Linked DNA regions of Alligator mississippiensis. The protein of the gene in region 1 interacts with the protein of each later gene in a biochemical or structural test. Links are inferred from orthologs where the notes say so. Each region holds a gene or a part of one and is shown in the gene's direction. Other genes may lie near its edges.

Region 1 (7,709 bases):
GCTGTAAGGTAGATACATAACTAGTTGGATTATCATGCTGCAAGTGTAGTCACCAGTAGCTCAATGTGTAGTTGGAAGGAGGCATCGAATGGGTTCCCCGGGATCTGCCCTGGGTCCAGCGCTGTTGAATAGCTTCCTGAACTTTTGGAGGATGGGACTGAGTGCACATTTAGCAAATTTGCAGATGATGCCAAGTTGGACGGAGGTGCAGACACTGGAGGGTGAGGCTAGGATCCAGAACGGGTGAGCAAGACATGGCCTGCAAGCTGGATGCAGCCTGCCAACTGACTGGACCTGGCCACGAGCAGACGCCCAGCAACTGACTGTCAGCCTGCAGCCGCCCCTGCAGCACGCTGCATGGGGCCGAGTCTGCTCTGCTCCTGCACCAGGCCCACCAGACAGCACCACCCCGCCCCAGCCAGGGCACACAGCTTCCCAGCGGGGCTGCTGTCACACTTGCCCAGGTACTGCTAGTTACCCCTGCCTCCAGTGGCTCTTCCTCCTCCTGCCCCCTGTGCCACTCGGGGCAGCAGGCAGCATGGGGAAGCCGTGGGGACGTGTGCCAGGCAGCAGATACCCAGCGTGTAGGGCTCCGGGTCCAGCTCTTGGCTGCCTTCCACCCATCCTGCCCTCCCAGTGTAATGAACACCTGTGGGCAGCTGAACGGGTGGGAGGCATCCAGGAGCCGGAGCCCTGCACACTGGGGCAGGAGCTGCCTGGCCGCAGCTTCTCCCTGGCCTGTCTGGGCACCCGGCTCCCAGCACGGGTCCTTACGGCTTCCCCGCACTACTGCTGCCCAGAGAGGCGCAGGAGGAGGCAGGGGAGCTGAGTGGTACCTGGGCAGCTGTAAGAGCAGCCCCGCTGGGCAGCTGTGCCGGCCGGGGCTCAGGCGGTGCTGTCTGGTGGGCTTGGCCCCATGTGGAGCGCTGTGGACGGGGTGGGGTGGGGTGGGATGAGCCACACCTGAACCTGCGCTGCCCGCATGAATTCTGCTGCATGCATCCCGCTCCCCCTTCCTCCCCCACGGCCGGTCAGCTCCCAGGACCTAGCGCACGAGCGCTGCCCCCACATATAAGAGTAGGACTTTATTTCGAACTATTCAAACACATTACAGTAGATGTTTTGACTGTGATGTGCGCAACCCTCAACAGCTCATCAAACCTCATTAAGTAGGCCCAGCCAAAGTAACTGCCCACCCCTGATCCAGAATGATCTTGACAAGCTGGTCCAAAATGAGTTGAATGAAATTCAATAAGGACAAGCGCAGAAGTCCTAAAGGTAGGAAGGAGCAATCACAGGTACAAGCACAGGCTGGGAACGGGAACGCGTGGTCAGGCTGCAGGGACGAACCCCGGGGCTACAGTGAACCGTAAGTTGAAAATGAGTCTTGCTGCAGACCAAACCAAACCAAACCAAGGAGCCCCACGTCCTGGGCTGCATTAATACCACGCAGGCACTTGGCCAGTGACTTCCCTAGTTCAGGTGTTTAAACTGTCCTTAAACTTGGACAGAAAGTATGTACTGAATGAATATTATTTAAATACAAATTAAGGGACGGGATTCTCGCACCCTTGACAGCGCTGGTGAAGCCTTGTCCGACATACTCCGTCCAGGTCTGAGCATCGCACGGAGACATGTGGACAGATTAGACTTTTATGGACAGCCACAAAAATTATGAGAGATCTGGGAATCTGGATTTAGGAAGAAAAGCTGAAAGAACCGGGAGCGTTTCGTGTAGGGAAGGCTGAGAGGGATTCGATAAGTCTTCAGATACCTGAAGGGAAGTTAGAGGAGGGTTAGTCTCTGTGGGCACAGGAGACGGGACAAAGAACGGTCTCAAATTGCAGCCACAGACATTTACGCTACGCGTTAGTTAGCAGCGTTTCCTTGCGAGGGTGGTCACGCGTGGACCGGCGCGGGGACCTCCACCCCTCGCCGTCTCGGAGCAGGTTCGAGGAACGCCTAACCAGGTCGGTTTGTCAGGAGGGATCCTCTCTCGAGCAGGGGATCGGACGCGCGACCTCCGAGCCCCCGTCCAGCCCTGCTTTTCTACGGCTCTTTAATAGGCTTTAAAAAAAATCTAAGCCGTTGATTTGCCCGGTACGCTGGCAAGAGGCCGATGACGCAGGGCAGGGCAGGGCAGGGCAGGGCAGGGCACGGCCGTCGCGCCGCGCAGGGGCAGCGTCTCTCCCAACGCGGGCCAGACCCAACGCGACGTTAAGCGGTCAGACGCCCACAAGGACAGCTGGCCGCAGCCCCCCCGCTGCGAGGAGCGGGACCCGCGCAGCTCGGCGCCTCCCGCCAGGGCTGCGGGTGCCCGGGGCCGCAGTGCCGCGATGCCAGCGGCACGTGCTCGCCCCGTCGGGCTGGGCCGCGTCCGCGACGCCCGCCTCCCTCGTGCCGCAGGCGAGCGCGTCCCCCGCGCCGGCCTCGCCCTCACCCTCGCCGTGGCGGGCAGCCCCGGGGTGCCGGGGACACCTCCCTGCCGGGCGCCCCGGGGCGGCGCGGGCCCAGGCCCACTCCAGAGCCGGGACCGCCGCGCCGCGCCGCGCCGCGCCGCAGGGGAGCGCGGGGCGGGGGCGGGCGGCGCTGCCGGGCGGGACGCTGCAGCGGTTGGCGCGGCTCCGCGGGCCGGGCCCTGGACAGCGCCCCCCACCCGGGAGCGGGCCGCGGCGAGGGCGGGCTCTTCCCGGGCTGCGCCCCCCGGACACGACACGCGCGCGGGCAGCGGCCCCCGCCCCGGGGCCGCCTGGTCTCCGCGAGCCCCGGCCTCTCCGGCCCGCCCCCCGCCCGGAGTCCGCTCGGCCCCTCCCTGCGGCCGCGGACTCGTCCTCGCGCGCGCCAGGCCAGGGCAGGGCAGGGCAGGGCAGGGCAGGGCAGGGCTGCCCGCACGACGGGCGGAGGCCAGGGCGAGCGGCGCCACCTCCGAGCCCTCACACCGCCGCCCCGGCCGGGGTCCTAAGAGCCTGAGGCCGCAGGTGGCCACCTCGGTGCCTGCAGGAAAAGGCCGGTAGGGCCGCGGGCTGAGCAGAGCAGAGCGGAGCAGAGCGGAGCGCGCTGCGGAGCGCAGCGGAGTTAGCCGGGCCGGGCCGGGCAGCCGAGACTTGCGGGAGCGCCGCGCGCCTCGGGCACTAACCTGGCCACCTGCGGGTCTTACGTGCTGCGGGGGCGGCCGGCGTGGCGGACGGGTCGGGGCGAGGGTCAGAGCGCGCCGGCGCAGCGGGACGGACGGGTCGGGCGGAGGGACACGCCGCGCCGCCGCGCTCCGCGCCGAGCAGGAGGGAGGGAAAGTCCGGAGCAGAGACAAAGGGGGGGAGCGGCCGGGAACATCCGGGTCACTCGCCGCCGCCTCAATCCGGGACACGCGCGGGTGCTGCGGCCGCTCACGGTGAGGCCCGGCCGGGCGGCGGGGGAAGGGAAGGGCCGGACCGGGCCGGGGGAAGGGCGGCCGCGCCGGCTCCTCCGGGCCCCGCGGGGCGGCTCCGGCCGGGGCGGGCCGCGGTGCCGGCAGCCGGGCCGCCCCCTGCCTCTCCCCGGCCCCCTCCCCGGCCCGCGCGGCCTCCCCCGGCCCCGGCCCCGGCCCCCGGCGCGGGGAGGCCGCGGGCCCTGCCCCAGGCGCGGGCGGCGCCGAGGCCCGGCGCGGGGCGCTGTGCGGGGCCGCAGCAAACTTCCCGCCGGCCCGGCCCCGTGCGGCACGAGGGGCGGCCCCGGCGCTGGCTTGGGGCTGGGGCCGGGGCCGGGCCCGCCCGCCCGCGCGCAGCCGGGGCTCCCGGGGGCCGGGACGCGGGTGCGGCCGGGCTGGAGGTGTTTGCCGAGGCGGGGGAGGCCCCGCGCTCGGGGGCGGCGGACGACCACGTTTAGGAAGGAAAGCGCCGTTCTTTACGTAAGGGCGAGCCGGCGGGAGTCGTTGCTCCAGATTTAAACGCATAGTTTGGCTCCTGGAGCCGCCGCGCGGGCGGAGCGAGAGGCGAAGCGAAAGGGAGGCGCGAGGACCGCGGTCGGAGCCGAGCGGCAGGGAAGGAGCGCGGCGCCGTTTGTGGGAGCGGGGTAAGGGAGAAGCGGGAAGGACGGGCTGGAACGGGGGCTCGAGCACGGTCCTCCGTTCTCCGGTCTCGCCCGGCGGGGCTGGCCTCAGCAGCAGGCGTGGCCGGACGCTGCCGAAGGCCTGGCTAACTTGTTTCCCCTCCGAACGATGGTGACCTGGCCCAGCGGGGCCAGCCTTTTTGGTGGATGTGCCACAAATGAAACCTCCCAGAGTACTGCTCCGCTCCCTGTCCTCACCCCACCTGCTGCTCTGTTTTCTGCTCCCCCCCGTCTGTCGCGTGCCACTTGTTGGCCCCGTATGACCTAGGGCTTCTCCCTTAGTAGCAGGTGTTTGTGTCCTCGTAGAAGAATTATTAGAATAATGATTCTGCAGGATATGGCGAGCTTTAGATATTTGCATTTGGTTTTTAGGAGTGAGTGGAACCTGGGGTATAATCCGTACGAGGACTCTTCGCCAGCGATCGGAAGAGCTGCGGAGGGCCGAGCTCGCAGCAGCGTGCAGAACGTACCCGTGCTTCTGAGCACGCTGAGGAAGAAAGCGGTGTTTACATTCACGCTCTGTCACACAGCGTGGTTAGACGCTGCTGCGTGCCAGCAGGCAGGGTACCAGAGCAGAAGCATTGAGATCTTCCCTGGGGTTCTTGGTTTGCTTCTGAGTCTGGAATGAGAAAGGGTTAAAGTTAATAGAGATCTTCTGTCAGTGCCCATAAGAAGTCCGTGGTACTTTCTGCCTGAGGATTTTGATGTGTTCACAGTTCATTTTGCATGGCTGCACATGTTGCAAGGTGTGTGATCTCCCACTTCCACAGGTGAATAAGCAGACACTAAAATGAAGCGGCCAGCTTTGAATTGTATTACTTACAAGTTACATTACTAGAAGAAAGTTAAACTGGCTGTCTGTAAAGTCTGTATCTGCAACTGTCTGTCCAGAAAGAAAAATACAGGCAGCACATACATCTGGGGAATGGGAGTGTTGATCGTACCCAGGGCCTCGTGTTTGGAACCTGCAGCGTAAACACTTCAAGGGAAGCTTTTCAAAACTCTTGACATTGAGAGAGAACCTAGAAACGTTTCTTCAGCTAGGGGGAGCCTCCGAAAATGTGAGAGTCTGTAACCTGGTCCAGGTCTAGGTTGAGTCGCTTGAAGTGATTTGCCCGTGGTTACTTACCCAGGAAGCCTGTGGCATTTCTGGGAACGAAATTTAGTCCAAGCAGACCTGACTTGTACCTTACCCTCTAGACCAAGACCGTGATTCTTCACATTGCCGCTCGGGTTGTTTACGCTTCGGTGCAGAGGAAATGTGAGCTTGGCTAAAATCATGTTTGGCCAATTCTTGGGGTGGGGGGTTCTTAAGGGGTTTTTTCCATTGACATCTCTTTCTTTGTCAAATCTTTTGTTTCAAGCCTCTTTCCTGGCTAGTTGCTTGGAAAGTCATAAGCCTTAGAAAAAGGCTCTGAAAATCAATTAAATGTTGTATTTAGGTTTGTATTATAGTGTCCAATTCTGTATTTTTTTTTAATTTCAGGGATAACATTTTAGTTTCTATTGTACAGTCAGTTAACTCAGACACTATATGTATGCTGTGAAATCCATATCCAGGTCTTCAAGCTTGAGCTCAGATGATAGATGCAAGTTAAATTATAAAAGAACAAATTTTGAAAATAAATTCATAACGTGAAAGATCTTGTGATTTTTGGATTTATATACTAATTATCATGTGACTAGTCCAATGTTATCCATTTGTATGGCTCTAGTAAGAAATTAAAAGATTTCTAAGTAATTCTGAAAATGGAATTTAAGTCTAAAGTTACTCTTCTTTTTTAAAATATTCTCCTTGCCTACTAAACTAACTTGCTGAATGAAATAAGCTGGTGAAAATGTTGTGCTATCTAATGACTATGATTATTTGTTTTGAAATATATAAAAATCATAGTAATATTTAGCAGTGACAGCTTTTAAAAATGTTTCCTTAATTTTCCCGCTCATATTAGTGAAGCTAACTATGTCCATTTTACATTGAGTGGAGAGTGGGTAGAAGTAGGAAATCAACTTTATTAGATGAGAGGAAAAATATTTATGTAATAGTGTTATGGTCCTTTTAAAAATTTTAGTTCAACTTGCTCTTGAAGTATAAGTGTATAAAACCATTAATGCAGATGGTAGTCCTGCATATAGTCTCTTTTACGTTGGAAACAAAAAATACTTCACTGTCTGCAGGTCACTTTGGGAATAGTTTAACTTGAACTCTGATGGATGTGTTAAGCTGAATCTAATGCCTTCTACTGAACTATGAGGGGAACTTTATGCTGTATAATAAGAAAATCACAGGCTTGTTAGTCCATAGCAGGGTGCATACCTGCTGGAGCAGGCAGGAAGGCTAGAAAAAGAAGTACAAAATTTTACCGTAATGAAATAGAAGATGAAGGTGCAGCATGTCACTTTTTGGAAAACGCCGTTTGTTGGTGGTTTTTTGGTACCACGCGGGTCACAGAATGCATGGGTTAATTAAATTTGCTCTGATATAACTGTTCGTTAATCTTGTGGAATTTGCATTTGTGCATTCGCAAACAAAACTTGACCCTTAATATTTTTCTTAGGAGTAGCTGTTACCTTTTTTTTGCCTTTGAAACTTAGGGATACTGTATCAAGCCATAAGCATAACTGATTTTCATGGTTTTTTAACCGATGGTTGCAGTGTAGCCCAGAGGACCATCAATTGCTTTAACAGATCTGTTGTCTCATGCTGTGATTGGCAACAGGTAGGGAGAAACTGAGGATGAAATACTGAGTATATTATGATGATGGTAGGGTTTACTGCATATTTATCTTTATTCTGCTGGGGCTGACCTTGGTTCACTAAATGAAATTAATTATTTTATAATTTGATACAGTGAGAATATTTTGAAATAAGTATTAGTATCAAAGTGTCTTGTGTTTATTTTCTATTAAATCCAGTTTTGCTACAGATGGTTAATGGCACGTACAGTGTCTGGTAATCTGCAAATATTCTGGCATTGTGAAATCCAAATATCCTTTTCTTACTTACCTAACTTTAATCAGTATAGAGAGATAGTTAGCCATGGTAGTCTGAAGTTGAGTGTGGATGCACCTTCTAGATGTGGGTGAGCAAACGTTTTTAGCTGTGGGGTGGAATGACCCACCCTGGGTTGGAGGTGGCCAGGTGGGCACTAGGACCCTGCCACAGCCAGTCTTCATCCCTGCAGTGGCGCGGGAAGTGGCCACAGATCCAGCCCAGGGGCCACAGATTGCTGACCACTGCCAGAAAGTGATTTACAGGTGCATGAGCTTTCAAGAGTAAGAGCTCACTTCATCAGGTGCTGTAGAAGGACACAGTTTGCTCTGTGCGTGTCCTTTCAAGCCATCTGCTGAAATGAACTCTTGCTTATGAAAGCTTACACATCTCTTAATCGAGTAGACCAGTGATTCTCAACCACGGTGCTATGGCACCCTGGGATGCCGTCAGATCCTTGCAAGGGTGCCATGGAGTACCATGCAATGTTAGCACTGCTAGGGTTGCAAACATAATGATAAACTCAGATTTCAAATAGGAAGCAGGGTGTTAAAAACATTGTGACCTGTTGTGGTCTGTCTTTGCAACAGAAGAATTGCTCTATTACCTTCTTGCAGTCAAAATTGAGGGAAAA
Region 2 (7,845 bases), on another chromosome or scaffold:
TTCCATGTTTAATCTATGTCCTCTCTGCTGATGCTGACTTCCTGCCACTTGGGCAGGGGGCTGGACCTGCTGATCTCACAGGGTCCCTTCCAGCCCTAATGTCTATGAAATCTACTAAATCTATGATACTGTCTGTAAGTGTGATGACATATTTTGGTGCTGGTTCAGATGTAGTAGTGGTATGCTGTGGAGGACATTTTTTTTCATGATGCAATAGAGAAGGCCACCAAACACCCATCAGATGTTAATGGCCTTCCTTCACTACTGGCTTGTATAAAAATGGTGACATAGAAGTAAAAGGCTCCATTTCCCATTACCAGATATTCAGTCCCCCTAGAAAACATCTGTTGAATATGGGTTCATGCCACATTATTAATTTGTCTGTTACATGATGTTTAATTGGCTGTTTTTAGTGCTATCCTGTCCATCACCATACATAATCTCTTTTCAGAGGCATTTTAACCACATCATTATGGTCCCCAACTCTGTTCCTTTTTAAAATCAATTGTAATGTTTTGTCTTCCACCTTAGTATACTGTTGGAAGTTCGAAAATTTGATTCTGTACCTGTATAAGAAAGGACAAAACTTTTGGGAGGGTTTTATGTGACAAAATTGGTGCAATGAAATGAAGTGGGTCTGCAGAAATTCTGTAATATACATTATTTATATTCCCAAGAAACTTACATTGTAGTGCCTGAGACACACAAGCAAGTGCACTTCAAAATGCTCATTTCTGAAGACAGTAAAAGAAAACGGTCTCTAGGATTCATGTGATATACTACTAACTGGAGGGAGAATAATACAGAAATATTTTCTTGATGATGTGTGCTAAAACAGCAGGCATTTAAGAGCAATGGATGTCAATCTCTGAGGTTTTTGTAAAGAATTGCAATTTATGATGTGTTAGGGTAAACAGTTGGATTAAATTTCTAAAACGTATGTTCCATCAGGTAAAATCATTGTGATTATAGGCTCTAGCACTTCAAGTAAGTAAGTTCTGCACTAAAAGTCTGAAATAGTAAAACAAGAATGTTTGTGCTTACCTGTTAATCCCTCTTTGTATCTACACTGAGTAAACTACAAGAAAAAGAAAAACTGCATTAAACAATAAAGGCATAAATGTCATGTTTATGTCATCTCGATAAACAATGGCTGTTACACTGTTTTCCTTCAAAAAGCCATTATGACTGGCCTTTCTATTCTCCCTCAATAGAGAACGTGCTTGAGTGTAAAAAATGGAGGATTATTTAGAAATTACATTGTTCATGCTTCTAATGTGAAAGTAGAACTTTCCTGGCTTTTTCTTGCTTTGTTGGGTTTTTTTTTGTTTGTTTTATTAATTTCTGCTTCAGTTCCTACCTGCCATAAAATGCTGGATTTTTTTATTTCAACAGCCACCTAATATCACACAGAATATGGATCTGAAATAAATGGGAAAGAAACAAGTTTCTTTAGGTGACTTTGCAAATGTGTGACAGAAGAACATAATAAATGAAAACAAATCTTCGATATTTCTCATAATGAAATTTGTGGCATGTCAATGTCAAAGGACTATAACGACAAATCAACAAATATTTGAATGAAAACAATATACACAGCTTATTTTCTATATTAAAAACAACTGTCAAACAATTACTGTATGACCTCATGAATTAGTTAGTTATTTTGAAATATTCCTGCTAAGATAAAAAAAATGCTGCACGGGCCTTTGAGCTGAACATATTGTGTCAATCATAAGCATATGCAATGTATCTAAAGCATGAGGTAAAAATTTTCATTGTAAATTATTTCATAAATAAATAATTTGCCTGAAAAAGTTTATGAAAATATTTTTGCTTTTATTAAGTTCTCCACAGCTCTTTTGTGGTTAATATAAACAGATTGATATTGACGTCTTCTTGATCTGCTTTATTTTAACTCCAAAGGCAGAATGCATCATGCAAGCATTATTTTACAGAGATACTGTAGCATACTTCTCTGTGCAATACCATGTTTCCTTAAAGTTTTCTATTTAAACGATGAAGAAGCAATTTGTTATTCTAGCAGTTACGTATGAAATGCACTCTTACTATTCTAATATTAAAAATACAGAATAAAGAACCTTGATGCATTTTTTTCATAGCATTTAAAATATAAATCACTTATCGTTCTGGTGAGGTTTTCTGCAGGTGAAAGAAGATGTCAGTGTCAGGAAGTTTTACATATGCTGAAGCATGTACAGTACTTCCATAGTTATCACACTTTCCCATGTTTTATCTCTTCTAGTTCAATGTGAACTTTTGTTGCATTTGTACATGTAAGCCTGGATAGGATTGAAAGTGTGAAGGGGCATCATTTCCCTTTTTATAGCAGAAACATTTGCTTAATAAATTTTAATAGAGCAGAGAAGCAAAGGGGACTAACCCTTGTTTAAATATTTTCCATTCAAGCCCTGCTTGTCAGATGCTCAGCCAAACCATCAGCCAAGTACCTGCTAATTTTAATCCTTACTATACAGGACTGAACTGCTAGCTGATTGCTTACTCTGCCCTGTTGTATTTAGCTAAAAATCTAAATTATATAGGATGGAGAAAAATATTTAGTTATATTCAGTAGAACACAACAGTTACTTCTAGTGTATTTCACAATGACTGAAACTATTAAAATGATTTTTAAACCTTGCCTGTATAAGTTCAAGAACAACATTTTCAACTTAAAAAAAGAGTGAAGATTTATGTTCTCCAAAAGTACTTTCATTGTGCATATTTCTGATGTGCTATAGCAAATTGCTCTGGTATTAAAATATACAGGTAGTCATTAGTACCAGACTTTAAATTTTATGAAAGATTTTGGTATTGCTTTTCTTTGCATTCCATATATAAACATCAGAACTGTTCCAAAATGAATTTCTGCTGATGGGAATATAGTCAGTCCCACACATAATATGTCAGTTTTCTTCTCCCACTTTTGGGGAATATATTGTGTTCCTCATTGTGGAACTATATTTTACTTACCCTTTCCATCCTGACGAGTTCCCTCTTGTACATGACTTACTGCTTTTTATAAATAAAGTGCTTTATCAGACAGCCCTACAAAAGAACTTAAGGGGGAAATGTGTTGCTAGGTGATTTACATGAGCAATTACTTTACAAATCTGCCAGTATATTATACTAAACATAAATGAAGAATGTATAAGCCTGGAGAAGAGGCTGAAAATGGCATATATTTTACAGTAGGTTTCATTTTGCCTCAGTTTGTACCTTTGAGGACTTTATGCTTTATAATTCATGATTTCCCTGAAAATAACTTTGTAAGGAAAATGTTATGGTATGTAAAAATATCTAGTGGGGGATATGTTCATCTGTAACTAATATTTTAATTGTTTAACAGGTTTTTCAGCTTCTCACTTTAAAAATGTACTATTAGCTGCAAGTAACTGGAATGTGTCTATTTTCATATGAAATCAGTTAAAAATGACCTGCCTGGAAGGAAAAACATGCCACAGAAAGTCACCTAACTGCAGAAAAATTGTGTCGAAATGCTCAACAAATGTTTACATAGTTTTTGACACCTACTATATTTGGGATTTAAAAGTCTTTCACAGGAACCTTTTATGTATTGCCTTGCCTTGGAGATTTTATTTTATTTTTTTACATTAGAGACATTGACTGCTAGTCACTTCTGGTATGGGAGAAATCTGACTATTTTTAATTGAAAAGATTCTGTATAGACACAGAAAAGTGTGAAGAATTTTCTCAAGAGCAGCTTGGGGTTGTCTTGTGCCTGTGATGATCACGGAGCACCGAGAAGCGGCTTGTAATAATTTGAAAGTTTGGAAGGCTAATTTGAAACTTTAATCTTCATTTGAAGAATGGAATCTAGACGTCTCGGTCAATCCTCTGTCTGCTCCATGTTTGCACCTCTGAGATTGTAAGCGCTTGGGGGCAGGGACTGCTTCAATTTTGTATCTCGCCCCGTTTGTGGCGGTCAGTCCTTTGGAACGTCACCAATACCCACAACAGCAATTTGGCATCTTCTTGTAAGACACTTCAGGGGCCTCTGAAGGGATCTCTGTGAAGGAGATCAGGGTGCTCAACTAATATCCCTCTGACTTCTTTTCCAATTCAGAAAAAAACTTTATAGGATCCCCCAGCCCCACATGCCCCACACTTTGCACTGCCGGCTCAAAAGGAAGAGGAATCCCCCGAGATGCAGCTATCCGGAGCGGACTCCCTATGCCTGAAGAAGGGCGTTTGCACCCGAAAGCTTGCAAAGACCCACGTCCCCAACTCTCCAGTTGACCCAGTGCAAAAGATCCCATTCCCCCATCCCACAAAACCTTGCCTGCTCTCTCGGCATGGCACATTGAGGTTCCCTGCAGGTGGAAGAAGGATGCGAGTGTCAGGAAGGGTTGCACAGGTCGCACCACATTAAGGAATGGCCATTCACTCGGGTAAGGACCAGCAAGGACAATCAAGAGTTGCCCCCCCCGGGTCAAACTTTGCCCCCCACATCTCCCTCTGTCTGCTCAATGCAGCAGGGAAGCGGCGGAAAGGAGGCAGCGGACTCCTCCGGACGGCGATGATCACACGGAGGAAAGTTGTGAATGACGTGGGCGAGTCCAAAGCCGCCTTTCCCCCAGCGGTGGCTGCTGCCGCCCGCGGGCGGGGGAGGAGCAGGAGGCTGCGCCGGCGGAGCGCGCCGGGGACGCTGCACTGTCTCTTTAAGGGCGCTCCGGCTGGGGTGGCGCTTTTCTCTGCGAAGGCTCCTTTGATATTAATAGTGTTGGTGTCTTGAAACTGACGTAATGCTCGGAGACGGAGGTCCTGACAAGCGATAACATTTCTGATAAAGAGCCGATCTGCAGCCCGCTGCTCTCCTCCTCCTCCGCCGCCTCCTCCTCCTCCTCCGGGGCTGTTGTTCCCCAGCCCCGGCTCGGCTCTCTCCTCCCTTGCACACACGCACCAGGCACATCCAGGTCCCTGCTCTTTCCCTTTCTCTCTCCCTGCAAAGAGGGGGGCAGAGGGGAGGGGGGAAAAGGCAGGGGGGGAAAAAAATCCCCCCCTCCTCTCCTCTCTCTGTCTTCCCCCCTCTCCCCTTCCCCCTTTGCACACACACACTCACCCTCGCACTCCCCCCCTCCCCCCCAGCCATCCAAGATCAACTCTGCAAACAACAGAAGACGGTTCATGGCTCAAGCCACAGCTCCACCATCTTCCAGGCTGCTGAGATTATTATTGCCGATTAATCAACAGGTAAAGGCGGGGGAGCAGAGGCGAGCAGCCGGCTGGGGGCTGGGAAGGGCAGATGCAGGCCTGGGGGGGGAGGCTGCTGCTGTTGCGCATGTAGTGAGTGCTGAGCGCTGGTGCGTGTGCAAGGGGGGGTTAAAAGTGACTTTCTTTGCACACGCACAGTGAGGGAGGGGGGGTGTCACACGGCCCGGAGGAAGCGGGGGCTTCTCGGGTTTCACAGCCTTTCTCTCTCTCTGTTATTTTGGGGGGGTTGTGTGTGTGTGTGTGTGTGTGTGTGTGTGTGTGTGTGTTTTGGTGGGGTTTTTTTTTTTTTTTTTTTGGGTGCATTTTTTTCCCCGTCCTCTGGTGGGTCAAAGCCATGTGTGATCGCTGGGAATTGGCGACTTGCAAACTGCAGTAGCCCCTTCGGAGTCAGGAGGGTCAAGTTCAGGCGGCGGAGAGAGCAGGGAAAACAACCCCCTTCTCCGCCTGCCTCCCGCGGCTCCCCCGGGGGCAGCAGCCACCCCTCGGGGCACTGCGGGGCCGGGGTGTGCTGTGCGGGGGGAGCTCTCCCCGGGGGATCCCCCCATCGGGGCGCTGGGCAAGGGGGGAGAAGAGATCTTGCATCCGATGAGCTGCAGTCACCCAGTCCTTGCTGCTGCTGCTGCTGCTGTTGTTGTTGCTGCTGGAAGTTTTTACTGGGAATCATGACAAGCGGGGCACAGAGACCAGCATGAAGAGTAGTAAGTTTGGGACCAACTTTCTCTTTTGGGGGGAAGAGCAAGCCCTGGTCACACCGGGGGGGGGGGATGGTGGGGGGAAGGCGACATGGTGGTGGTGGATTTTTTTTTTTCCCTTTGAAATCAGAGCAGAGAGCGACGGAAAACTTTTCCTCTTAAAGGCAAAGTTGTGCTCTCAGAGCGCAGTCCCATGCTGAGCCCTGCCATGGTTGCCATAACTTTGTCTCCTTCCTCACTCCCCCCCACCCCCTTCCTTGTGTTTTCCACTAGGGATCTGTTTGTCTGACAGACTTTTTTTTTTTTTTTTTTTAGGCTAGGACTGAACGAATGGGGCTGAGGGCAGGCTGGCTACTTCTGAGGAGGGGGAGTGTGATGCTGGGGGGGGTCATTTGTGGCTTGGTAAAAAGCTGCAGTGTCCAGGCAAGGTGGGATCTGGTGGGCTCTGCACCGCTCGGTTGGGTCCCCGTCCCTGGGCCCTGGCCAGGGGAGAAGGGACCCAGGGAAAGGCCGTGAAAATCCAAATGGACTTTCCAGAAAGACCCACAAAGTTGTGGGATGCTGGCAGTGACAGGGGGCTATTTTTCAGCGTAGAATTGCTTTGTGACTTGAGCGGCGCATGAAGCAGAGCCTCTCGTTGATATTTGGGGAGGTTTGATTTATTTGTTTGGGGGGGTTAATAGAAAAATAAGGTGTGTTTTAATCAACCAGGACTTCTGTATGTTTTCTGTTTCTGAGGTTGTAGAGGGGCCCATTCACTTAAAAAATATCAGGTCGCTATTCCAGACACCAGTGTCAATGCTCTGAAGTGCGTTGACTGAAAAATGTGGGGCCAAGTCATAAGTTAAAGTGAAGGGACCTCTTAAGTCCATCTTCTCTTCCTCCACAAGTGCAAGGACACTGTGGTGAGGAGAACAGAGTATGAGTGAGCAAGCGACAGATGCAAAGGGACACATCACAGAGGATGCAAGATATGTATGCTCCTTGGGGCTTGGCCCATACCTAGTTTGTACAGCACCTAGCATCTTGTGGATGCTACGTGTAATAAACAGTACTTTCATATGAGCCTGGTTTTCATTTAATCCATTTCATTACAACTATAAAGGAGCCATCAAAATCTTTGCCATTCAGGCAGCTTTTTTCAACTACGCAATTGAAACCTATGGATCTTGATGGCATCATGTTACTTTCCTGTTGGTTTTAGGAAAAGTTGATCATTGAGAAAACTGCCAGAGTTAAAATGCAAGGGGCAGCAAAGGAAAGTAGTGGTAAGAGCCAGTTTCTGACGTGGACAAAATGAGAATAAAAGTTACAGTATTCTTTCTGAGCTGTAGACAGTGTTTTCCTCATGTTCGCAATACGTACATTAGGTTAGAGAGCTCTGTCAGATATTCCACCAGAGTGACATTTAAAAAAAACAAAAAACAAACTCCAAAAGAGTGAGGATTTTTTTAAAGTACTGTGGGTCTATGAGTAAATACAGGGCTTGTTTGAGAACATCAACTATTTCCTGTAAATTGTGATGCTGACAAGACTGTCTGGAAATGATATCAACACTTTGGAAGATTTTTTTTTTAAACTACCGAGTGAAAGTTTGTTAATAACATCGTTAATCCAAATAAGTGGAACAGTTCAAAAAAAAAAAAGGGAAGGGGAAAGTCGGCCTTCCTTTTTGTTTTTAAAAGTTACATATAGATATAGTTTTTTGATAAATTGTAGATTGTTCAGCAAGTTTCATAAAGTCACTCATACTGTAGTTGATCAGTACACTGATACTCACGTACAAATTAAAGCCTAAAATATTTACGACATCAAGATATTATGTTTTATATTTAAAAGGAGGAGGAATTTCACATATGAAGGCAACACTCATGTTATCATCTGTCCTGCTGTTTCA
Region 3 (7,242 bases), on another chromosome or scaffold:
AAGCACAAAAGGCCTTGCGCTTGTGGTCGATCAACTCTTGGATCTCCTGGTTGTTCTCCTCAACCCAGTCTTGATGTTTCCTGCTAGTGAATCCACATGTCTCCATGCAGGTGCAGAAGCCAGTGGACTTGAAGGCATCTGAAGTGTTGCTGGCATTCTCCCACTGTTGTTGATTGGAATTGTCCTTGTTTTCACGTAGGCACTGGTGAAAGAGATTGTGCTTGATTGGGTCCTTACTGACCTGTCAGCATTGCCTCTGCTGCAGCTGTCATTTCGGAGCCAGTCTGAATGATATAACCAAGCAGATGTGTTGACGATCAGTCCAGCAACTGTCAGCTCCTAGCATAGTTCAGGTGATGCAGACATCTGTCACCCTAGGCATGAACAATGATGTGGGCAATCGGGTGCCAATGCTTAGATCACAGGTGTTGCCATATTTTGTGCCTATTTTTCTGGTGGAGCAGGACGTTGGTGATGGCAAGTCTGTGTTCTGCCCATCTGGTCAAAAGGGGTATGCCGTTGGAGTTGACTTTTCTCCACTCCTTTCTTGTTGATGCTTCTGGTCCAGAGGTTTGAGTCTCTTCCAACTCTGGCATTGAAATAGCTGAAAAGAATAAGTCTGTCTTCCTCTGGAATGCCAAAAAGGACTTGGTCGAGGTTGGCATAACATTCCTCCTTGGTTTTGTCAGCAGGGTCAAGAGTCAGGGCATAGGGGATGGATGACAGTGACATGTTGAATTCCTGCCGGTTTAAAACAGAGAGTCTTGGGGTGCTCATTCATTCTAACAGGGAAGTCATTGCATTGGTTGAGTTCATTCTTGATGGCAAAAACCAGCTCCATGAAGCCAGCATTCTCCTTCCTGTTTACCTTTCCAGTATAGCTGCCTCCTTGTTCTTTGAGCTGCCCATCTCCCATTCACCTGTTCTCACTTAGGACAGTGATGTCAATGCTGTGTCACCTGGGCTCTTGAGCCACAATTGTGGTGCAGCACTTTGGGCATTTGCTATTAACATTGTCTGTGAAGGTCCTGATGTTCCAGGTCCCAAAATTGATTGCGTATCTTTGTTGATTTTGACTGCAGCAAAGGGGATCCCACTGAATGCAGTTATGCAGTTAGGAAAGAGGTAACCAGAGCAACTTTTTCTAGGCCCCTTCCCAAGGGGGGCAAGCAGAGCAGATCCTGAAGAGGGCTGCTCAGTTACAGTGACAACCATCAGATTGCAGTCCTGGCTCCAAGTGCTACACAACCTTCTTGTAACTGCCATCATCATGCCAATTCATAACTAGGAGCTTCCAGATCTCACAGGCCTGCTCCCATCATCACTAGGTGCTGCCCACTGGAGGACTTAAAGAATATGCTGGAAAAACTGTTTCCATCGAAGATGCTTGTACATTATTTCTTTTATCATGGAGAAGCTGCTGTGCATCAGCTTGACAGAATGAGATCTTGATCCAATGGCAAGGAAACCAAGACAATTGGGGATCTTGGTCCACTGCAGCCTTCATCTGCCTTTGCAGCCATTGAGATTCGAACATCTTCTGCCTGCTGCACCACTGAGGACTTGTAGGCCCATGGCTGGGGGCTGGGCTGGTGTGCACAGGTGGCAGAGAGTGAAATGGTCTTCATGAAAGGTTAGCTGCACAATAAGCAGGGGTAACTGACAAATAAGCAGTCATGGATCAAGCGGTGGCAGCACAACCAGGACGTGATGGGGACAGCAGATAGCAATGGTTTCCCTCCTGAAAAGCCACATGTATCCTTTGACAATGTTGTGCCATGGCAAGTACAGGTTGCCATTATAATAAGCCTAAAATGTACCAAGTAACAGTAAAAATGACGACTGGACTAGAAACCACTTTAGAGAAGAAAGTGAAAACATGGACCTGTGAATTCATACCATCTGGGACAAGTCTTGTGGGTAGTAGTATCCATGCAAGGTCCAAGCGCTTTGAATATTGATGCTAGGAAAGTGTCTAAGAGGGTTGAATCAACAGATCCCAGCCTAGGTTTCGGATTTTGCCGTGAGACACCAAGACTGGGGGATAATGGAGCCAGACCTGTGGGCCCTGCTGGGTTGCAAATGCTCCACTCCAATGCCTTGAACAGGTAAAGAACAGGTGATGTATCCAGTGGCTCCCATCAGATGGGTGCTTCGTAGGTCAGTGCTAGGCTCAGAAAGAGGGTACTAACCAATTCTTATGCAACATGCTGGCTGGAAACGCATGACTGTATTGTGTGTTCAATGATTATGTGGCATGATGTGCTAACCCAGTGTGTAAAAGAGGGAGGCATCAGCAAGAATCTACCCTAAATGGAAGGCATCACATGTTCTAACAGGTTTTATTTGGGGAAAGATTGAATGCATTGTAAGCTGTTTAATCCACAAGATATTGGAGATGTCACTGTAGAAGGAGGTCAAAAGAGTAAGAGTGCAAAAGCTGGTGAAGGTTTAGACTGTGGATTTGTCAGGGATGGTTTGAACAGGGATGATCCTGCCTCAGGCAGGGGGCTGAATAAGACGTGACCTCTGGAGGTCTCTTCCAGCCCTCCTTCTGTTTGATTTCTCGATGACTACCCAGTGCAGTAGATGACCCATCAGAAGCCTCACTGTCAATGGACAGGGCTAGTTCTGGTCATAGGTAACAGGACCATCTCCATCTGCTGGACTAGGAACTTAGAGCAGTGATTCCCCACCAGGGTGCTGTGAGATCCTCTCAGGGGTGAGTCAAAGTGCCACACAACACTCGTGCTATTAGGTGGCGAATGTGATTGGCAAAGTAAACCCCGAGCTTTTTCATCAGGATTCATAGTGCTAAGAACAGTCTGGCCTGTTGCATCTTTCTTATGTCTTTGCACCAGAAAATTTGCTCTGTTATTTTCTACATTCAAAAAACCTGCAAATTAAGGGCTACCACTTTTTGAGGGCAGCCTGGAGTCTATTGAAGGAGCTTCAAGTCTGAGATGGTTGAGAGCCACCAACTTGGAGAAAATGAAGCAGCCATGACTCTAGCATTCAAAAGAAGCTCAATTTTAAATTTACCATGAAATGTAGCTTCGTCAGGGCCTAAACTCGGCATGCTGTTGCTTTGTTAAGTGATTGTAAAGCATGGAAAAGTAATTGGACCAGGGGTCACAAAATAATAGCACTGGATAGGACTTTTAAAACTCACAACAGGAAGTTGTCTTTCATGCCGCGTGCAATTGAAGGACAGAACTCCTTGTCACCGGATGTGGTGAAAGCTGCGAGTTCAGCCAGGTTTGCAAAGGGTTTGGACACATCCTTGGAGAAGAGGGGCATCAGTCACTATGGAGCACAAGAGCGAGGGGCACAGCTTCTGGGTCGGAGGTTTCCAGACCTGAAAAGCTGGAGGCTGCAGGTGGGAGAGGAACAGGGGGAAAACCAACCGCCCCCATCAGCACTCACTCCCCACCCTGAGACTGGGCAGGACGACCGGGTCTCACCCAGGGCGCGGCGATCGTGTTCTTATGAGTTGGGACTCAACTGCATGGCCGTGCCAAGGCAAGCGACTGGGGATCTGCACTGGGCCGGGCACCTTTCCCTGTGGTGTCTGCGGGCCAAGGCCTGCTCCAAGCTCACGCTTGCCGGTGGATGGGGGCTGAGGAAGTTGTGCAATGGGTCGGACGAGGGACCTGGCAGTATGTGCCTCGGCTTTGCCACCAGGCCCTGGCTTGGATCCTGAGCCTCTTTTCCACCCGGAGTCACAGGGAACGAGAAGGGGTGTCCAGCCAGCGCTCGCGGTCTTCCTGCACCAGGGCTCGCAGGCCGCTGCCACCATCACCGCGGGGGGTTGATGGACATCTTGGCGCACCGGCTGTGCTGCAAATGCCCGCTCCTTTGCAGTGACCCCGAGGCACGAGGGCCCGGCCCCGCTCCCTTGGGTTTCACGTGGCGGCTGCGGGGACACGTGGGGCAGTGGACAGCTCCATGCTGAAAGAGGCGGCACGGACTGCCCACCTCGGAGCTGCAGCTGCGGTGGATCTGTTCCCTGACAGCAAAGCCCCCCCAGCACCATTCAGATGCACCGTGTAACCGTAAAGCCCGACCCTGGGAGACAGCCTCTGGGCCGCTTCCCGCCGCTGCAGACCGTGCAGCTTGACAAAGCCCCGGGAGGGCCATAGAGCCACCTCTTGGCCGCACTGGGGTTTTCTGGCCTTCCGCAGCCGCCGTCTCCACCCACCTGACCGAAACTGCAAATGTCCTGGGCGCCGCCATTTTGTTGTACGGACTTGGAAGCGCATGCGCAGAACATTCGGGCCGCCAACGCAGCTGCCCGGAGGTGCGGGTGCGCACATGCGCGCTGAGTCGCTATCAATCCGATGCCATTTTAGCAGCCCGCGGCGGAGCGGCGCGTGGACGGCGCTATTAATGGCTTGTCTCGTGGAGGCCGCCATCTTCTGCGGAAGCGGAGCAGACGCAGAGCACGTACCCCCCGCCCTGCGGGAATGGTATCGGCCAGACCCCCGCAGTGGCGCGCGCCCCCTCCTACAACGGAGAGGAACGCCCGCCCCCTCCACCCCGCGCGGGAAGGTGGTTGGGTCCAAGTCATGCCCCGCCCGCGCCTCTTAAACGGTGGGCGGGGGAAGCTAGAGTGCGGCGTTCTGATTGGTCGGGTGGTGTCACGTGGGCAGTGAGGTCATGTGGCTAGCGACACCGGGAAGTACTCTCCTCGCGGGAAAATGGCGGCGCCCCGGGGGTCGGGGGGGCGGCCGGTTTGCACCTCCCGCTGTCGCGGGGCGGCGGCGGCGGCGGGAGGGAGGATGGGCGGGAGCCACCCGGGGGCCGCGGCCCGCGGGGGCGGGGTCGATGGGAGGCGTACCGCGCCGGGGCGCCCCCGCTCGCCGTGCAACAAGATGGCGGCGCCGCGGGCCCGGCCAGGACCCGGATGCGAACGCGGCCCCGGATTGGCCCGGCGCGGCCGTACGGCGGCATGGCGGCGCCCGCACCTGACACTGGGGCCCGCTTCCGGTCCTGCGCGCGGCCGCGGAGGGAACTCGGTGGCTCGGGCCCCGCGGAAGCGCCGGCGGCGGCGGGTGAGGGCGCGCGGGGGGCGGGCCCCGCCTGCCCCGGGCCCGGCCCCACCCCTCCTTCCCCGTCCCGTGGGCCCGTGCGGCTGCCCCGCCCCCGCCGGGCTCCGCGGGCCCGGGCCCCGCGGGGGCGGGGCTACGGGGAGATGGGTGGGGGCCCCTGGTGGTGCTAACGCCCCTCCGCCCGCAGGTCCATCCCCGCGGAGGTGCCCCCCGCCCACCTGGGATGCGCTGCGCCCCCCCGCTGTGAGCCTGCGCCCATGGCGGCCGCGCCCCACGGCAGCATCATTGTCCTGGACGACGACGACTACGAGGGGCATGAGGCGCCGCCCACCCCGCCCACCACCTCCCCCCTGCCCACCAGCTGCGCCCCCCAGGATGGCCCCTTGGCCCATGCCGTTTCCCCCCCGCCCCCCAGCCAGGCCTCCCTGGATGGTCCCACAATTGTCGCCACGGCCCCCCAGGACAGGGGCGCTTTCCAGGCTGAGAACGAGCAGTTGTTTGCCGACGTGAGTTCCCCTCGCATGCCAGCCCAGGCTCCTTGGTCCTCTCTATCCCCAGCCCAGGGTGGGTTGCAGTGCACACTGCCCAGCGCGCTGTGCTCAGTTCCCCAGGCTGCCCTGGGGGTGGAGGGGGGCTCCCCTGTGCCAGCACGGGGAGGTGGAGCGGGGCCCAGGCCCCAGCTGCTCACTGTCACCCCCTCTGGCTTCCCCCTGTGCCCCCAGGTTTTGGAGCGTGTCTGGCTGACCCCTGACCCCTTCCCCACCTGCCTGCTTTCCTTCCCCTAGTCCGTGGAGCACTGATACTTGCTCCCTGCCTATCTTTTCCCTTTCCCACCCCCACCCTGACCTGACCCCATTCAATTCCTGGAGCACCGTGCCTGGCTGACCCCAGCCCCACCTGCCTCTTTTCTGTGCGTCTGTCACCAACAGTTCCTAGCCTGCTGTTCCCAGCTGACGGAGGAGCACCCCGAGGTGGTCCCCTACCTGACGGGCCGGCACCAGAAGGCCAGTCCCGCATTCCTGGGCTCAGCTGAATTCCGCAATGTGCTGAGCCGCTGCCTGACACGCGTGCAGGCCCGGCACCACAAGGTGTATGTCTACATTAATGAAGTATGCACTGTGCTCAAGGCCAACACCCAGCGCCGTAAGCTGGCCATCAGTGCTGTCCCCGCTCCTTGCCCACCCCTTGCCACGAATCAGGAGCAGAACAACATTGAGGAGCATGAGACAGCGGACACTGAGGCGGGCAGGAGCGAGTTGGCAGCCATGGAGGCAGAGGTTGGGGCAGGGCGGCATGGGACAGGCTCCAAGCGGCAGATCCGGTACCTGGAGAACCTGCTGCACATCTACATGGGGGAGATCCGTCGGCTACAGGAGCGGGAGCTGGACCTGACGGAGATGGACAGCGAGGACTCAACCTACCTGCAGGAGAGCCGGCTCAAGCGCCGCATGATGCGAATCTTTGAGCGCCTGTGCGAGCTGAAGCAGTGCAGCAGCCTGACCGGGCGCGTCATCGAGCAGCGCATCCCCTACCGTGGCACCCGCTACCCAGAGGTCAACCGTCGCATCGAGCGCTTCATCAACCGTCCTGACATCTTCCCTGACTACTCTGACATCCTCAAGGTCATTCAGAAGGCCAGTGCCCGCCATGGCCTAGCCCTGAAGAAGCGTCAAATAGAGAGCATGGCCCAGGATGCCTTTCGGGATGTCGGCAACCGGCTCCAGGAGCGCCGCCACCTCGACCTCATCTACAACTTTGGCAGCCATCTCACCGACCATTACCGCCCTGGTGAGTGCAGGGTGTGTGGGGCTGGCATGGCCCAAGGGGCCTCTGTCTACTGCTGCTCCAGGGAGAGCTGTGCCTCTCTCCTGCTTACACAAGGTGGTAGACAGAGGACCCCGCTGATGAGCACTGAGCCTCTTCTTTACGTGCTGTGGGGTCTATTGGCTAATCTGGTTGCAGGGACGCTAGTGCCTTTCGAGCAGAAGGTTGGGCTGTGGATGCTTAGTTTATTTGTCCCTCTCCCTCGTGGTTGTAGGTACAGATCCTGCACTGACGGACCCAATGCTGGCCCGGCGTCTGCGGGAGAACCAGACCACAGCCCTGAATCGGCTGGAGAGCGTCATCTCGCACTATGCCCAGCTGCAGGATGAGAGCGAGGAGGAAGAAAGGATCCGTAGACGGGCAGGGC
Region 4 (6,859 bases), on another chromosome or scaffold:
AAGTGTCTTGAACTTCTCCAGTTTTTACACTTTTTTTTTCGCTTTGTTTGAAAAGCAGAACCCTCCCAAAACAGAAAAAATAGGTTCTTGATTTATGCTAGCAGTCAAATCATAATCTCTGCACAGCCCTGGATGAACAGCTGGTTACTAGGGCTGTGCGAAACAGCACTGTTTCATTTAGACTTCCGGTTCACCGTTTTGAAGGGACAGTTTCGTTTTGCTGTTTCGAAGTACTGTTTTGTTTTGTCAAAACCGTTTTGATGTGCTTTGCCTGTAGGCTGTAATGGGGAATCAAGAAACTGCCTGTAACTCGGTCGTTTCTTTTCTGATTCAAATCAAAACAGCAGGGATGGTAGCCCCTGCTGACCCCACAACACCCATCAAGTTTTAAGGAGATAAGTTCAGGGGTTTCTGGGAAACGACACCTCAAACTGCTGAAAAGCAAAAATCGTGACGTGTGTGTGTGTTAAGGTGCAGCGGGGTGAAAACTGCAGGGATGATGGCCCCTGCTGAGGTCACGAAGCCTGCCAAGTTTCAAGGAGATAGGTGCAGGGGTTTCTGGGAAATGGCACCTCAAACTTCAGAGCAAAACTCATGTCACTTTTAAGTGGGAAGGCACAGAGAAAACTCTGTTCAAACAATGCCTTTTATGCTGTTTTTCTGTCCCTCCCCCAGAGCACTGGGATTGGAAGGGACCTCAGGGAAGGATCACGGTCATTGGCCAGCTACTTTCCAGTCCTGGGCTGGGCTATGCTGTCTGCTTCAGAGAGCAGGGCTGGCCCTAGCTGGAGCAGTGAGGGCTGACTGACAAGGGGGTGGGGGGCAAGCCTGGCCGGGGATGCAGTCCAATCTAGGGGGGGGGTGGAGTGGGCAGGAAGGGAAGACTGCGCCCCCCCCCCCAGGCAAATCCTAGCTGGGGTGTGGGGCCAGGGAGGTGGGTTAAATACCCTTTCCCCTGCTCAAACATACTGGTTGCCACTCTGGACTACAAATCCCAGAGGCACTTGGAAGCAAGAAGAAGTAATGAGCAACCCTGCAGAGTCCTGTTATTGTGATCCTGGACTGCAAATCCCAGAGACCTCGGGGGCAGCACATAGCCAGAGAGCTGTGCTCTAGTGGCTCAGGCCAGAAGCCAGGGGCCACTGCGGGCACGTGGCTGCCTTTCCTGAATCAAAGGTAAATTTCTGTTCGCTTCTGTTTCAATTTAATCTGTGCAGTTAAGACTAACCTGCAAAGCCTGACTTGATTCAGCCTCAGGCTTTTTGACTGTCTGTACTTAGCCCTAAAGTTTCATTGCAATCCATGGGTTGGGTAACGAGAATAAAACTGCTAGTGTGCGGGTTTTAGAGCATCGGTGCCCCATCCTGCTAACTCCATGCTTTTATTTCATGAATTATCATCAGAGTAGATGCATCTCCTCTGTTCTGGTCTGCCGTGGTCAAACCCTTTTTGTATAGCCAATGAACAAGTTGAGGGAGGTAAGTCTAATGCCCCGAGCAGGACCCTGATTCCAAAGGTCTTCACATCTCTTTCTGCTTGGAGGTCTCCCACAGAGCATGCTTTGCTGTGTCAAGCTGCACTCTTCTCCAGGTAGGCGCTGGATTGAACAGGTCTGCTAATGCAGACAGACACCAGGGCTCCACTCGAGCGCGGAGCTGTGCTTGGATTGGAGTTGCCACGGTCTTATCTGGAGCCACCCCTAGAGACACATCCCTTGCCAGGACTCGAGTTTGACTTTCACTCTTCTCCAAGGGCTTGCAGAGCACCTTAAAGGGGGGGGGAAAAAAAGATGGAAGCTTTTAGAGTTCAGATGTTCATGCCCTGCTCCTTTGAAAGCTTGTATCTGTAAGTGCCACTTTATTTGAGAATCAGCACTCTGAACAAATGGTATGATTGGGCTTTTATTGTAATGATTTTATTCTGCGAGTTAAAAATACTGTGCTTGTTAACTTGTCATTATCTTAAAGCTACAACAGCTGTGTGTGACTGCCTACGATAAAGATAGAAACGTTCAGGAGGGGAAGCAGAAACACTCCTTTAAAAAAAAACCAAAAACTTGAAATTTTTAATGCTAAATGAATGGGGATAAAAATAAAAGTAGTGTTTCTGGTTTTGTTTATACACTGGTTAATGCCTTGACACACAAGCACATGTAGGAGAAATGTTCTTTGTGGAATCTCCTTGGCATTGTATAGCTTACCTTGCTTTCCTTTCCTCTCCTCCCTCCAGATTAAAATGGGGCAAGAAAAATATTTCAGTGTATCATTTTCTACCGATTTATATTATTTTAACTAATGTATTCAAAAAGTCCTTTCCTCAGTATATTGAAGTGACAGTCCTCTTGCTCTCTAGTGGATACATTTAAAAAAAAATCCTTTTATTATGGTGACCTTTTCAGCTTTTAGTTGTATCTTCCTTTTTTGCATTTACCTTGCAACTCAGTGAAATGGTGATCAAGCTTTTCCAAACAGTACCTAAAGCTGTGTCCCCAAGTGAATAAGCATTCAAGCAAATCAACTTATAGCATTTTATTAAGTCAAGACTCATGCAAAAACCACCTCCAGAGCTTAATAATTATTTACTGAATGTTCTTGGGTCATGAGAGAGGTTTTCATTAAGTTGGAAATGCATTATGCTCACTAGCTTGTGAAGGTGTGTTTAAAGACAGAGGGGAAAAACGGAAAAATACTAAATGGTGCACAACTGCTTGCAGAATTTTAATTAAAAAAATCCATGCTTAACAGACTCTTGAATTGGCAGGTTCTGTCTCTAATTAAACAATTATGATGCAATGAACTTCTTGTTGCAATCAAAATTAATTTTTTTTTATCAACACTTAATTCTTGTATTGCAAACATTTTTTTTTTTTTGTCTTTTCCTGGACACTTCTTGAAGGATGCTTTTTATATTCACTTTGCACCATCTGACAAAATGCACTTTCGGGTAGAATACACTTGTTTGAGTGTATTGTTGCAAATATGCCTAGTGTTGGATTTAATCTTAAATGCTGATGCTGGAGGGAAAGGGTTCAGAGCAAGAGGGGTTTGTGAAAAGTAAAGAAAGGATTGAAGGAGAAAAATACGTTCAGGTCGGTGATGAAGCAAGTGCCACGGTAAGTGGCATTATCTCCAAGAACATACGTCACTGGTAGATGTGGAAACCATACTGCTGCTTTGAAGTAAAACATTCTGAAATGCAGTAGCAACAAAAAATAGTGTGTAGACTTTATCAGCCATTATAATAGAGTAGTTTTACCAGGTTTGCTGTTCTGTCCTTGGCAGGAAAGGACAGAGCTGCGTGCCAAGACCTTTTTTTTTTTTTTTTTTTTTTTTTTCCTACATTGATACTTTGAGCTCTGCCAGCCAATGGGAATGGCGAAAGGAAGTGTCACTTGGCGCCCCCGATCATTTATTAAGGTTTGGAATGAAGTACAAAGTGCTGCGAGTGGAGCACAGCGTAGAGATTTTAGTGTAGGTAACCACAACAGTGGTCTGCCGAACTAAAAACAGCAAGGAGGAGCCAATTTTTTTGTAATCTGGTTCTTTTTTTTCACTTTTTCCTGTGGGGCAGCCTTGCTTAGTTAAGCAGCAGAGCCACTGGCTGCTCATATGCAGAGGTTTCATTATACCTTTGTGTGGATTAAGTAGTAAGAAGTTCCTGTGAAGCTTTCTTTTTTCCTACGTAGAAAGAAACTGTAAGATGGTCTGTGTGAACTTATTTGATAACCGACGTTTTATCTTGCCAATATGAAACTTTGCAGGTACATTAATTAGACTTTTTTTTTTTATAAACATCGCACCTGTGAATGAAGCAAAGTATTGAGCTGAAAAGCTGCCAGTCTTGGATCTCTTCTTAAAGTTGTTTTTCTTTTTAAATTAAGCAACAAGGGGTGCATGAACAATATACGTGGGTATCCCTCACGTACTTTATCCACGGCACAAAGAAGTGCGGTTATTACACGTAAGCCGACAAACACCGGTTTTCAGACCTTGCATTCTTTTGCACCTGCCTTTCCTAAGGGAACTTCAGCTCGGTTGGCATCTTCACAGTGCAAAATCCTAGACACTGCTGCTGCTTCTGGTAGCTTTTATTTGCCAGCCTTAGAGTCCCTGGCCAGGTAATACCTCTAATTCCAAATCAATTCTTAGTTTTTGGAGAATGGCAGGTTACTTTGTGCTTGTGCTCCCCTTGCTAGCATGGCTTTTAGTGCTTTTAGTGTGGTTCTTGAGAGCCCCCTATCCTGCTCCTGAGCAGTAGGCAGGCTCTGCCCCTGCCTCCTGACAAGCAAGCTGTTTTATAGCATCTTTATTACTCCACTCCCATCCCCTCCTCCCAGATTTTGAGCAAGGGCAGTTCAGACACCTGTCCTGTTTTCGAAGCCACTGCCTCCCTTTCCCAGGTCTTGCAGGGGTGGGTTACATTTCAACCTTTCCAATTTATGTTTGAACAAAATCCTATCGCTGCTTTTGCCTGGATTAATAGATCGGCATGGAAGTCTACCATGTTGCCGATGAAGTGGCCTCTTCAGTACTTGGATCTCTCAAGGTCATTTAATTTTTTTCCCCACCTTAAAGACTGATTCTGTTCATTGCCTGCTTTTTAAACTAAGCTGTTTGGAAGGTAAGGTGCCAGATCCCAAATTAACTCTTTGGTCTGGAGCTGTTGTAGAGCAGGGTGCAGTTTTATCCTCCAGCATTCAAACACATGCAGTGTTTTGACACTCGAAGTATAACAACAGTAACTCTCCCCCCCCCGATCAGCTTCTTGTTCTGTTGATCAACTCTTTAATAGGATGAGAGATTAAATTGCAGCCTTTTAGGGAATCCCTTTAACACTCATGCTTTCTTTTTTTCTTTTGTTCTAGAGCCTTTTCATACTTGCTGGGCACATCTACACATTCATTAATGGGCTTTTGCTACTGTATATTAAATTTACTACCTCTAATGTGAGGTACTAAATAAATGTGCATTAGGCTGCCTTAATGTGCAGTAGCAAAAGTGCACACTTTTTTTTTTAGTGACACAATGCACAGTAGCCTATTTTTACTGCACATTTGCTTATTAGCTTGGTTTTTTGACGTGACACTTTAATGCACAGTAAAATAGCCTCCTGCACATGTGTAATGTGCCTGCTCGGTAGCAAACCCAGTTAAAAACTGAAATCTCATGCACGTCTCTGTGACTGTTCAGTTTGAACCAGACTAGACTAGCGCTGTATTTTGGGTAGGATCCACCCATAATCTAGAGTTTTCACCTGGTTTCAATTTGGGGAAATAAAATGCATCAAGTTTTTTGGTTTAAGGTTTTGAATGAATTCACAGCTGAACATCAGAGTTAGCATGTGAAATGAGGGTGGGTGAGTGGGGAGCAGAAACTGTGTTTGCTGTAACCGTTGTCTCCTAAACTTTGCTTCAGATCATGCTCTGGGCGAGGAAAAAGAAATGGAAAATATGAGTGGTGAAAGCTGCGGCTTCCAACTTTGTTCCTGTCACACTTCTAAATTGTGGGACAAATTGGGAACTAAAGGTGCATTGTTTGACTTAAAGTTTTAGCTGCATTTCTTGATAAGGAGTGGATGGAGACTTGAGTGATCCCTTTCACATGTCACCTTGCTCCAAGTGACACTTGTTGTTCCAGGATCAGGATGGTTGAATGATGATCACAGCGGTGTCCTTCATGGGTGTATCTCTTGGCTGGGTTTTTAGGATTATGATGACCATCTTCCACCTCCATTCTGTCATTTTGCATGCATGGATCAACTCTTCTATAAAGGGCTTCCCAGATTTGCGTGCCACCTTAATGTTTCAAATGAGATGGATGATTAACTAAAGTTTTGTTGCAAATTTAGATTGTTGTAAGTAGGGTTTTATGGACACTCAGGGTTCTAGTAATATATAGAAGCTGTGGATATATAACGTTTCTTGAGAGTTTTTTAATCAAAGAAACTCATCTAATCCAAAACTGTTTTGCAAACCAGCCAGCATGTGAGCGCCTGCAACCAAAATTGACTTGGTATTGAGTAGCGTTTTCTATCTAAACTGAGAAAAATATTTGTATCTGAAACAAACAAATTATTGAGAGATTAAATGTAGAGCCTAATGATGTAGTGTTATCAGTAAGAGAGTAAAGAAAACTTTTTATTGTCAGAATAATGTAACTTAATCTGACTAGTGTGTTTTCCATACAAAGTCCCTGTATAGTGAGTGATATGTACAGTCACTAACCTCTTCTAAAAAGAGAACAGATTTTGGACTCAATAAAATTTAGTGATTTATAGGTATGACTCCATCTAGACTGGCTTTGTATCATGCATTACACTTGTAGGAAGTGCCTAGTAATTGTGTTGCTCATTTAAATACTGTATCCTGGAGTTTACCTCCTCCTTTGTTTTATAGATTTCATGATCACATCCGGAATACAAGATGAAGTTTTTTATTTAGTTTGATTTTATGTTGTGTTGTGGTCAAGCATCCTCATTCTTGAGGCCCACATGACTAACTCAGTGCCAGTTTTGAGAGACCCAAAGAGCCCATTCAGATGATTGGAGATTGCTGAAGAAATGAATTTGCAAAGCCCCTCCATGGTCTGTGGCAAGCTGAATGCTTGGAGCTAGTTGCACACTTTTTTTTCAGCCAGCTGCTTTGATGAAAAATTTTGTGTTGACTGACTAAAGAGATTTTTTTTTTTTTTTAATTAATTTTTTTTCTTACCCTTGGGAGAGGGGGAGGACAAAACTGTTGGCTGAATGCTGTTCAGGGAGAGGCCTACCTCTTCTGTTTATCACCCTGCACCTTGCTGTGGGTTATGGTGAAGGAGCGTGCAGATGAACTGTGGGTAGCAGTCTCTGTGGTAGATGCTTG

The links.
Region 2: of the proteins of UBE2I (region 1) and TRPS1, one has a biochemical effect on the other in vitro, tested with the Homo sapiens proteins (2 studies listed by BioGRID). The link is inferred for Alligator mississippiensis from reciprocal best matches to the Homo sapiens genes UBE2I and TRPS1.
Region 3: of the proteins of UBE2I (region 1) and DAXX, one has a biochemical effect on the other in vitro, tested with the Homo sapiens proteins (5 studies listed by BioGRID and IntAct, with this or other methods). The link is inferred for Alligator mississippiensis from reciprocal best matches to the Homo sapiens genes UBE2I and DAXX.
Region 4: the proteins of UBE2I (region 1) and MITF form a complex in vitro, tested with the Homo sapiens proteins (2 studies listed by BioGRID). The link is inferred for Alligator mississippiensis from reciprocal best matches to the Homo sapiens genes UBE2I and MITF.

The regions. Positions count from the first base shown.
Region 1 is NC_081836.1:59,500,040-59,507,748, forward strand, and holds the start of UBE2I (SUMO-conjugating enzyme UBC9), read left to right. Parts: upstream 1-4,706; 5' UTR 4,707-4,809; coding exon 4,810-4,829; intron 4,830-7,709. UniProt on the Homo sapiens protein: Accepts the ubiquitin-like proteins SUMO1, SUMO2, SUMO3, SUMO4 and SUMO1P1/SUMO5 from the UBLE1A-UBLE1B E1 complex and catalyzes their covalent attachment to other proteins with the help of an E3 ligase such as RANBP2, CBX4 and ZNF451.
Region 2 is NC_081826.1:25,711,901-25,719,745, forward strand, and holds the start of TRPS1 (zinc finger transcription factor Trps1), read left to right. Parts: upstream 1-4,839; 5' UTR 4,840-5,235; intron 5,236-5,571; exon of another isoform or gene 5,572-5,944; coding exon of another isoform or gene 5,945-5,954; intron 5,955-7,845. UniProt on the Homo sapiens protein: Transcriptional repressor. Binds specifically to GATA sequences and represses expression of GATA-regulated genes at selected sites and stages in vertebrate development. Regulates chondrocyte proliferation and differentiation.
Region 3 is NC_081834.1:64,839,786-64,847,027, reverse strand, and holds the start of DAXX (death domain-associated protein 6), read left to right. Parts: upstream 1-4,231; 5' UTR 4,232-4,260; coding exon 4,261-4,469; exon of another isoform or gene 4,470-4,593; intron 4,594-4,964; exon of another isoform or gene 4,965-5,054; intron 5,055-5,238; coding exon 5,239-5,557; intron 5,558-5,980; coding exon 5,981-6,839; intron 6,840-7,089; coding exon 7,090-7,242. UniProt on the Homo sapiens protein: Transcription corepressor known to repress transcriptional potential of several sumoylated transcription factors. Down-regulates basal and activated transcription.
Region 4 is NC_081835.1:6,396,774-6,403,632, forward strand, and holds the start of MITF (microphthalmia-associated transcription factor), read left to right. Parts: upstream 1-3,852; 5' UTR 3,853-3,893; coding exon 3,894-4,117; intron 4,118-6,859. UniProt on the Homo sapiens protein: Transcription factor that acts as a master regulator of melanocyte survival and differentiation as well as melanosome biogenesis.